Mus musculus: one gene and its partner. The protein of the gene in region 2 purifies or fractionates together with the protein of the main gene of each other region. This does not show direct contact. Links are inferred from orthologs where the notes say so. Each region holds a gene or a part of one and is shown on either strand. Other genes may lie near its edges.

The links.
Region 1: the proteins of Kmt5c (region 2) and Cbx3 purify together in Homo sapiens (affinity purification with western blotting; 3 studies listed by BioGRID and IntAct, with this or other methods). This does not show direct contact. The link is inferred for Mus musculus from reciprocal best matches to the Homo sapiens genes KMT5C and CBX3.

What each region holds. Positions count from the first base shown.
Region 1 is NC_000072.6:51,468,901-51,473,470, reverse strand, and holds the start of Cbx3 (chromobox protein homolog 3), read right to left. Parts: upstream 2,856-4,570; 5' UTR 2,732-2,855; intron 2,220-2,731; exon of another isoform or gene 1,961-2,219; intron 1,656-1,960; 5' UTR 1,627-1,655; coding exon 1,603-1,626; intron 1-1,602. Other genes in the region: Hnrnpa2b1 (heterogeneous nuclear ribonucleoproteins A2/B1), read left to right, coding at 3,795-3,800.
Region 2 is NC_000073.6:4,745,527-4,748,280, forward strand, and holds the end of Kmt5c (histone-lysine N-methyltransferase KMT5C), read left to right. Parts: intron 1-275; coding exon 276-412; intron 413-550; coding exon 551-735; intron 736-850; coding exon 851-1,365; 3' UTR 1,366-1,988; downstream 1,989-2,754. UniProt on the Homo sapiens protein: Histone methyltransferase that specifically methylates monomethylated 'Lys-20' (H4K20me1) and dimethylated 'Lys-20' (H4K20me2) of histone H4 to produce respectively dimethylated 'Lys-20' (H4K20me2) and trimethylated 'Lys-20' (H4K20me3) and thus regulates transcription and maintenance of genome integrity.

The DNA of each region.
Region 1 (4,570 bases), on a different chromosome or scaffold from region 2:
TCAGCTTCTCCCAGTGCTGGAATTATAGGTATGCACCACCATGTGTAACTACAGATGCTACTTAAAAATTTTTTAAAGGAATCACAAAAATAACCCCCTATCAAATGCCTAGTCCCTCTAACCATCACCAAGTGAAGGATCACGCAGGAAAAAAAAAATCACCAGCAGCACCTCAGAACCAGGATACTCAGTCCATCAGCATCCAGGGCCATACCCACACTCACAGCATCTCCACAGTTTACCAGATGATTCATGCTTATCACTGTATTGGGTCATCTAAGAGTGACCATCAGGGCTTCTGATCACAGAATCTAGTCCACTTTGCAGACCAGTTGAAGTCATGCACTATATGAGATAGAAATACCCTCTTGCTCATTTTGGTCAGAAATTCAAGGATAAAAACCCATGTTTTGTTAATGCACACCTCCATATGATTGAGATCAATGTGTCCTAATTAATGTAGAAACCACAACTGTAAATTTCACTCTTTTGACATGAATCTTTTTCTAGACAGGGTCTTGGATGCAGCCCCGACTACCCAGAATTTTGGAATCCAGGCTAGCCTCAAACTCAAGGCAATCTGCTTGCTTCAGCTTCTCACAGGCTGGATCACAAACATACACCTTCAGACCCATTTTTTTTTCCTCCCTCCGTTTTTGGTTTCTCTGTGTAGCCCTGGGTGTCCGTGGACTCGCTGTGTAGATCTATCTACCAGCCTCTGTCTTGGAGTACTGGGATTAAAGTTGTGGGCTACCACTGCCTGGCTGACCCAGTTTTATTTATTTTAAATATAACTTGACAAAAATAAATTTGTCTAACTTACTAGAAATCCCAAGAAAACTAACACTGGATTTAGCAACAGTCAGAAATCGCTGAAAAGAAACAGAATTGATCTAACAGTCTTAGATCACTCCTAGACAGTTTGTAATTCTTGCTCATGGCAACGTGAGCTCTATCTAACTCACTCTCTGTGCACTAATGAATGCTCAGTGTCTCCAGAACAGCACAGCTTCCAGGGTAATCATGCCAACCCACAAGACTTTTATAGAGCTGTCCACGACTCTTCCCCCATTCAGCTCATTAACAATATGATGGAGCTCCTGTGTGGAAATCAAGGCACACTCTGGTAGAAACTTGTTTTTTCTTTCCACTTTTCCTTGGGCTCTGAAGATTGAGCTGTTTTATAACCCACAAACATGCATTTTTTACCTCAAAAGCATCCAGCAAAAACTGTACAACGCTTTTTCAAAAAAATGTATTGTGATCCTCCTTAAGAAAAGCCTTACTTAGTGTTAATTCCTTTTTCTTTAGAATGCTGGTAAATACAAGGACTTAGGTAGGCTGGCTTCTAACAGCAATTCACCCACTTATGATGGGATTAAAGGAAGGCACAACCATGTCCACCACAGGTTCTAGCTCCCCCACCCACACGCCCAGAGAGGGTTTTTCTGTGTAGCTCTGACTATTCTGGAATTCACACTGCAGACCAGGCTGGTCTCGAACTCAGAGATCCACCACCACATGGTTTCTTAATTGTAATTTTAAAGAAAAAAAAAAATCCTTCAGTTAAGATTCTTATGTTCTAGGTTTTCACAAACTTACCAATGTAGTTTTATTGGAGGCCATTTTTTAAATTTAATCGGAGACTTGAAGAGCTATTGCAAGAAAAAAAATGTAGGACAGTTAAAATTTCATGACACACAAAAGGCAGCTACAAGTTTTGTGTGGATTTCAACATGTAAATTTCGGGTAAAAATGCAGGAAAACAGTTGAGTTCCCGTGTTATTAGTATGTTACTAATAATTTCAGTATGTTAGTGAAAATAATCTTACTAAAACACTGGTACCTCAGACAACTTTACATGGTGAGGATTGTTACTTTCCCAATCCATATAGAATTTTAACAATTTTAGTGTTTATTTTGGATGAAAGGAAATGACTATCTTTTGTTAGCAAATTACCATAAGATCTTTTTCTTTAGATTTCTGAATACTCCAAGGAGCTCATATAATTCCATCCTTATTTTTTCAGAGGCCCTCCCTGTTCAATCACGGTATAAAAAAAGGAACACATTAAGATGTCCCAGTCCTATTTTCTGGCTTTTTTTTTCCGGGGGTGGTGGTGCGGTAATCACTCTCTATAGTCCAGTCTGGGCTTCAACGCCTGGCAATCCCCAGCCTCAAGCTCCCAAGTACTGTCCTGATAAGGATAGAAGGAGTCGACCTCCTTCACGCTCCCCTCCGAGGAGGGCTCCTTCCCAGCTCCATTCCCCGGTCGGGAGCCCGTCCCCCACCCGAGAGCGCGGGCCTCGTGGTCAGCGCCTCCGCGGGGAGAAACAAAGGCGGCGGCGGGGGCTCAAGGGCACTGCGCCACGGGCCCGCGCCTCCCCCATCCGGCGGCGGCCACGTAGCCGGGAGCGCGCCGCAGCCCGGAGCCTCGGGCCTCGCAGCTGCAGAGCCTGAACCGCTCTCTCCCTGCGGGCCTGCGACGAGGCTGGGGGAGGGGAGGCCCGCGCTTTGTCTGGAGTCTCGGTAGCTGTCATCCGGCTCCCACCCTCATGCACAATTGTCCCATCTCCCCCACGCACCGGCGCGGCGCCCGCCTCAGCGAGGCCCCAGCCGGTTTCCCGCAGCCCGCGGCCCACGGGGCTCGCAGCCTCCCCGCAAGCTCGGACGCACGGAGCATCCTAAACCCCACCACACGCAAGATCGAAAAAAAGCAAAGGCACGAACTTCACCGCTCCGATGCTCAGGGCCGCGGATCCTGCAGAGTCTCCCGCCTGCGCGCTTCGGTTCAGCCACATCCGAGGGGAGGGGGCGCGGGCAGCTCCGCCGGGGGGGAGGGGGAGCACCGCCCACGCCCTGGCCGCGCGGGGCCCGCCGGGAACGCGTCCTGCGGGGGGCGGCGCGCGCAATGCTCACCGTCCGCGGCGTGGCGCCCAGGGGGTCTCCTGGCTGGGGGGAGGGGGGGGAAGGCGGGCAGGAAGGACCGCGGAGGCCTCTCTGCGTCTCGGAGCGCGCCAAAGCGGGGCTCCACCCACCTCCTTGCCCGGATCTTGAAGGCCGGGGAGATAAACAGCGGGGTTCTTTAAGCACCACCTCTCACTAGGCGCGGGATCCCAAGGCTTGTGGCATCCGGGGTGGTACTTGGACTAAAAGTCCTTCTGGGAGGGACCGAGTGAGAACCCCTTTGGGACGTGTAGAAATATTTGTGTGGTTCGAGAATATTTGTGCGGACGGGCTTGGCAAAGGCGTAGCTGCAGAGAGCACGCTTGGGTGGAGAGGGCCGCACGCCCCAGCGCCGGCCTAAGCCCCTCCCGACGGCGTTATTTCAAACTGCGCGACCGTTTCTCCGCTCCCTACGCGGAGGTGGGGGCCGGACCTAGTTCCGGACGTAGTAACACGCCGAGCGCGAGCCTTCCGCAATTCACGGAACACAGTTGCGCAAGTGATGTAAAGCAGTCCCGCTGTACCTAAAGGGGGAGTGTCACGTACTTGGCGTAAGGAGAGTGTAGGCCCTTCCCGCCATTGGCGGCGGTTAGGGCGTTTACGTAACGGCGTGACGTAAGCGGAGACGCGTTAGTGGGGGGAAGGTTCTAGAAAAGCGGCGGTCTCGGCTCCAGCGGCAGTAGCAGCGGCGCCGGTCCCGTGTGCAGGAGCTCCTTTGCGGCCCAGTTTCTTGGCCATCGCCTGCTCTCCCCACAGCGCCAGGACGAGTCCCGTGCGCGTCCGTCCGCGGAGGTCTTTCTCATCTCGCTCGGCTGCGGGAAATCGGGCTGAAGCGACTGAGTCCGCGATGGAGGTAACGGGTTTGAAATCAATGAGTTATTAAAAATGGCATGGCGAGGCCGTAGGCACCGCAATGGAAACCGGCCACCCGCCTCCGTGGTCCGGCGGAGGGGATGCGGCCACTCGAGTGGCGGTTGGCCTTGGCGAGTTTCTGAGGGGTCGTTGGAGGAGGCCTCTGATTGTCCGACCGCCTTCCCCGCCCTCAGCCGCCCGGCGCCATTTCCCTCAGTTGGGGTGGGGGATGGGAAGTGCCCGCCGCGACCGGGCTGGACCGCTAAAGTAGCGCGTGAGCGGGCCATCGCTGGCCTTTCGATGTGCGCGGGCCTAGGGGCTCGGTTGTGTTCGCGGCGGAACGTTTCTGGGGCCCCCCCGGCTTCCCGGAGCGAGTCTGCGAAGCTTCCCCTCCCCCCTCTCCCGGGAACCGGATTTGGCGGCCGCCATTTTCCCGTCTCCTTCCTCGCCACGATTTTGCTTTCAACGCTTTAGGTTTACTAGTTTGGTTTTCTTTTTTCACCACTGCGTAGACGTGTTTAGCGATTTTCCTTTCTTTTGGAAGTCTTCATACCGTTTCGAGGTGGATTTAGCGTTTTGAGCTTGGGTCTTCAGCGTCCTGCGCACCTCGCTAAAGGCTCTCTGCCTTCCCCTCGACGAAATGGCGCCATTGCTTTCTGAAGCCACCGAGGCGCGGGGTGGGGGCGGGGTGGCGGCGCTCCACGAGCTTTACTGGAACAGGCAGAGAGAACGTAGTACAACCGAGGCCTGGGCGGGTGGCTGAAGGCAGCG
Region 2 (2,754 bases):
GGCACTTGTCCACAAGTCAGAGGAAGAAGGCAAGGAGTGCCAGTGCATCCCGCCTGGAGGTCAGGTTAGCTCACTGGCTGACAGGGAGGGGTAGACACAGAAGGCAAGCTCTTAAGGGGCTCTGTGGAGAGCAGGCTGCAGCCAGAGTAGCTAACAATAAATGGTGGGGTAACTCATTACAGAACCCTTGGACCTGGGTGCCTGGCCAGGTTGTGGAGCTGGACAGCTCCTGCCCTGCGCTCCAGGCTAGGGTGCTGAAGGGGGCATGGCCTCAGTTTGTGCCCTCAGATGGGAATACTGCCTGTGTGAAGGTGCTACGGGACATTGAGCCAGGGGATGAAGTGACTTGCTTCTATGGTGAGGGCTTCTTCGGCGAGAAGAATGAGCACTGTGAATGCTATACCTGTGAGAGGTAGGCACGGACCTTGTGGGCAGGGTGTGGCAGCCTGCCCTGGGACGTCAAGGGTTGCTGGGCTGCAGTGCATCCTCAGGATTCACTCTAAAGTGTGTCTGGCCCAGCACATGCCTTTGCCCTTTTCTGTTCCTGCAGGAAAGGCGAGGGAGCTTTCAGACTTCAGCCCAGGGAGCCTGAGCTGCGACCAAAGCCCCTAGACAAGTATGAGCTCCGAGAGACAAAGAGGCGTCTGCAGCAGGGCTTGGTCAGCAGCCAGCAGAGCCTGATGAGCCGGTGGGCCTGCTCCCACCTGTCCCCACTGCGCCCTGACCCATTCTGTGGTGAGCGTGCCTGTTCTCTAGCCTTTGGGTCACTTTTTCTGACCTGTCCAGAGGAAGAGCTGCACAGGTCCTGTTGACAGGCTTTCACTTTTTCTGTCTCCTCCGACCTCTACAGCTGCCTGCCAGCCCTCATGCCTGCTGCCTGCCAGCCCCCACATGGATTACTTGCCCCTTTGGCTCCAGCGGGCGCCTCAACCCCAGCCCATAGTACCTCCCAGGAAGCGCCACCGCCGCCGCCGCCCCAGGATCCGCCAGGCTTCATTGCCTCCTGTCCTCCGCACTGCCTGTGTCCCCCTGCACCGATGGGGAGGCTGTGGTCCCCACTGCCAGCTACGTGCTGAGGCCATGGTGACCCTACACCTGCGCCCCCAGACTCGCTGGACCCCACAACAGGACTGGTACTGGGCCCGGCGCTATGGGCTACCTTCTGTGGGGCGTGTGGAACTTACCCGCCTAGCCCCAGCCCTGCCAGCTGCTCCTGCCCCTGCTGGGAACCCAGGTCCTGTCCCCACTCCTGATTTCATCCCTAAGCAGGCCCTTGCCTTTGCTCCGTTCTGCCCACCTAAGCGCCTCCGGCTAGTGGTCAGTCATGGTTCTATTGATCTGGACATCAATAGTGGTGAGCCATGATGGGCTGCTTACAGGGAGCGGAATGGAGTGCAGAGTCTATCTTGGAGCCCTCCAGAAGGGAAGGAGAGCTGACCCAGGTCTGATCCTGGTAGTGTGTTGTTTGGGACATCCCTAGAGAGCTGATCCTTGTTCTATGATTGCTGACCCCTGAGCCAGCCCCAACCCAGCAGGGAGCCCTGGCCATTTGCTGTACCCATCCCTGCCCCCACCTCAGGACTATAGGAGTCAACCTCCTCCCTCAGCCTCTCCCTCCCAGGGAGCAAAGCCATAAGGGAGGGGGGCACTCCATGGCGACTCTCTAGAAGGCCAGGCCTCAGGGGGTGGAATTGACTTGGGGGTTTGCCTTCCCCTGAGCTGCTCCCACAGTGGGGAGTGAGTTGGCTCTCAGCTCTACAGTTGATGGAGGTAGGGGCGGTCAGATGAGGTGGGTGGTACCCAGGGGCACATCCTTGGCTCTGCCCCACGGGTCTCAGGGAGGCCAGGTGTGACCTCATCTTTTTCACGGTGCTATCCCTGGTGCTACTGGGGTGTCGGGGAGGCTTCCTCTCCTTCCCACATCGGAATGGGGGATGATGGGGGATTGGAAGAACTTGAACTTTTTATTAAAATATTGTAAGTCCTTAGGAGGTTTTTTTTTTTTTTTTGAATGTTTTTATGGGATGTCAGTTGGAGGGTGAGATCTCAGCTTGACTGGGAAGATGAGGTGGTATGCCTGCGAGACTGACAACTATCCTGATATGCCTTAAGAAGGGAGAGGGCAGTGGATTCTGGGGACTGCTGGACTAAGATAAAGCCCTGTAACTGCACAAACGGTGCTTATAGGACATGACCAAATGCATTCTCTGCTCTGGGGAACTGAGGAGATAACCAAGAACTGATGACCGGGTGCAAAGTAACTTGCCTGAGGCCATACAGGGACTTGTCACTTCTCAACCAGATCTAGAGCAGGGCCTGGTGTGGTGGCACCCCTTTAATCCCAATACTTAAAGAGGCAGAAGCAGATAGATCTGTGTGAGTTCAAGGCTAGCCTGATCTACACAGGGAGTTCCAGGCCAGCCAAGGCTACACAGTGGGTGGACTTATTCAGGAGCAGTTTGAGAGGAGGGGATATAAATGGGGCCAAGCAGTTTAGCCCTGCTGAAGGGTGGAGGGAACCTCTTGTAACCCAGTTGTCCTCAACCTCCCTACTGTGTGATAGAAGTAAGACAAACTGGGGGCAGAGTTCAGTGGTAGAGCGGTTACTTAGCAGGTGCCAAGCCCTAAATTTGATCCTTCATACCAGAAAAGGAAAAAGAACCAAGGAAGAAAAGAGCCAGCATGGACGCTGGTGCTGCCTCGGTGGGGCTTTCCCTACCCTGCTTCTCCACCTTAGAGGACCTTGGAGGGTGA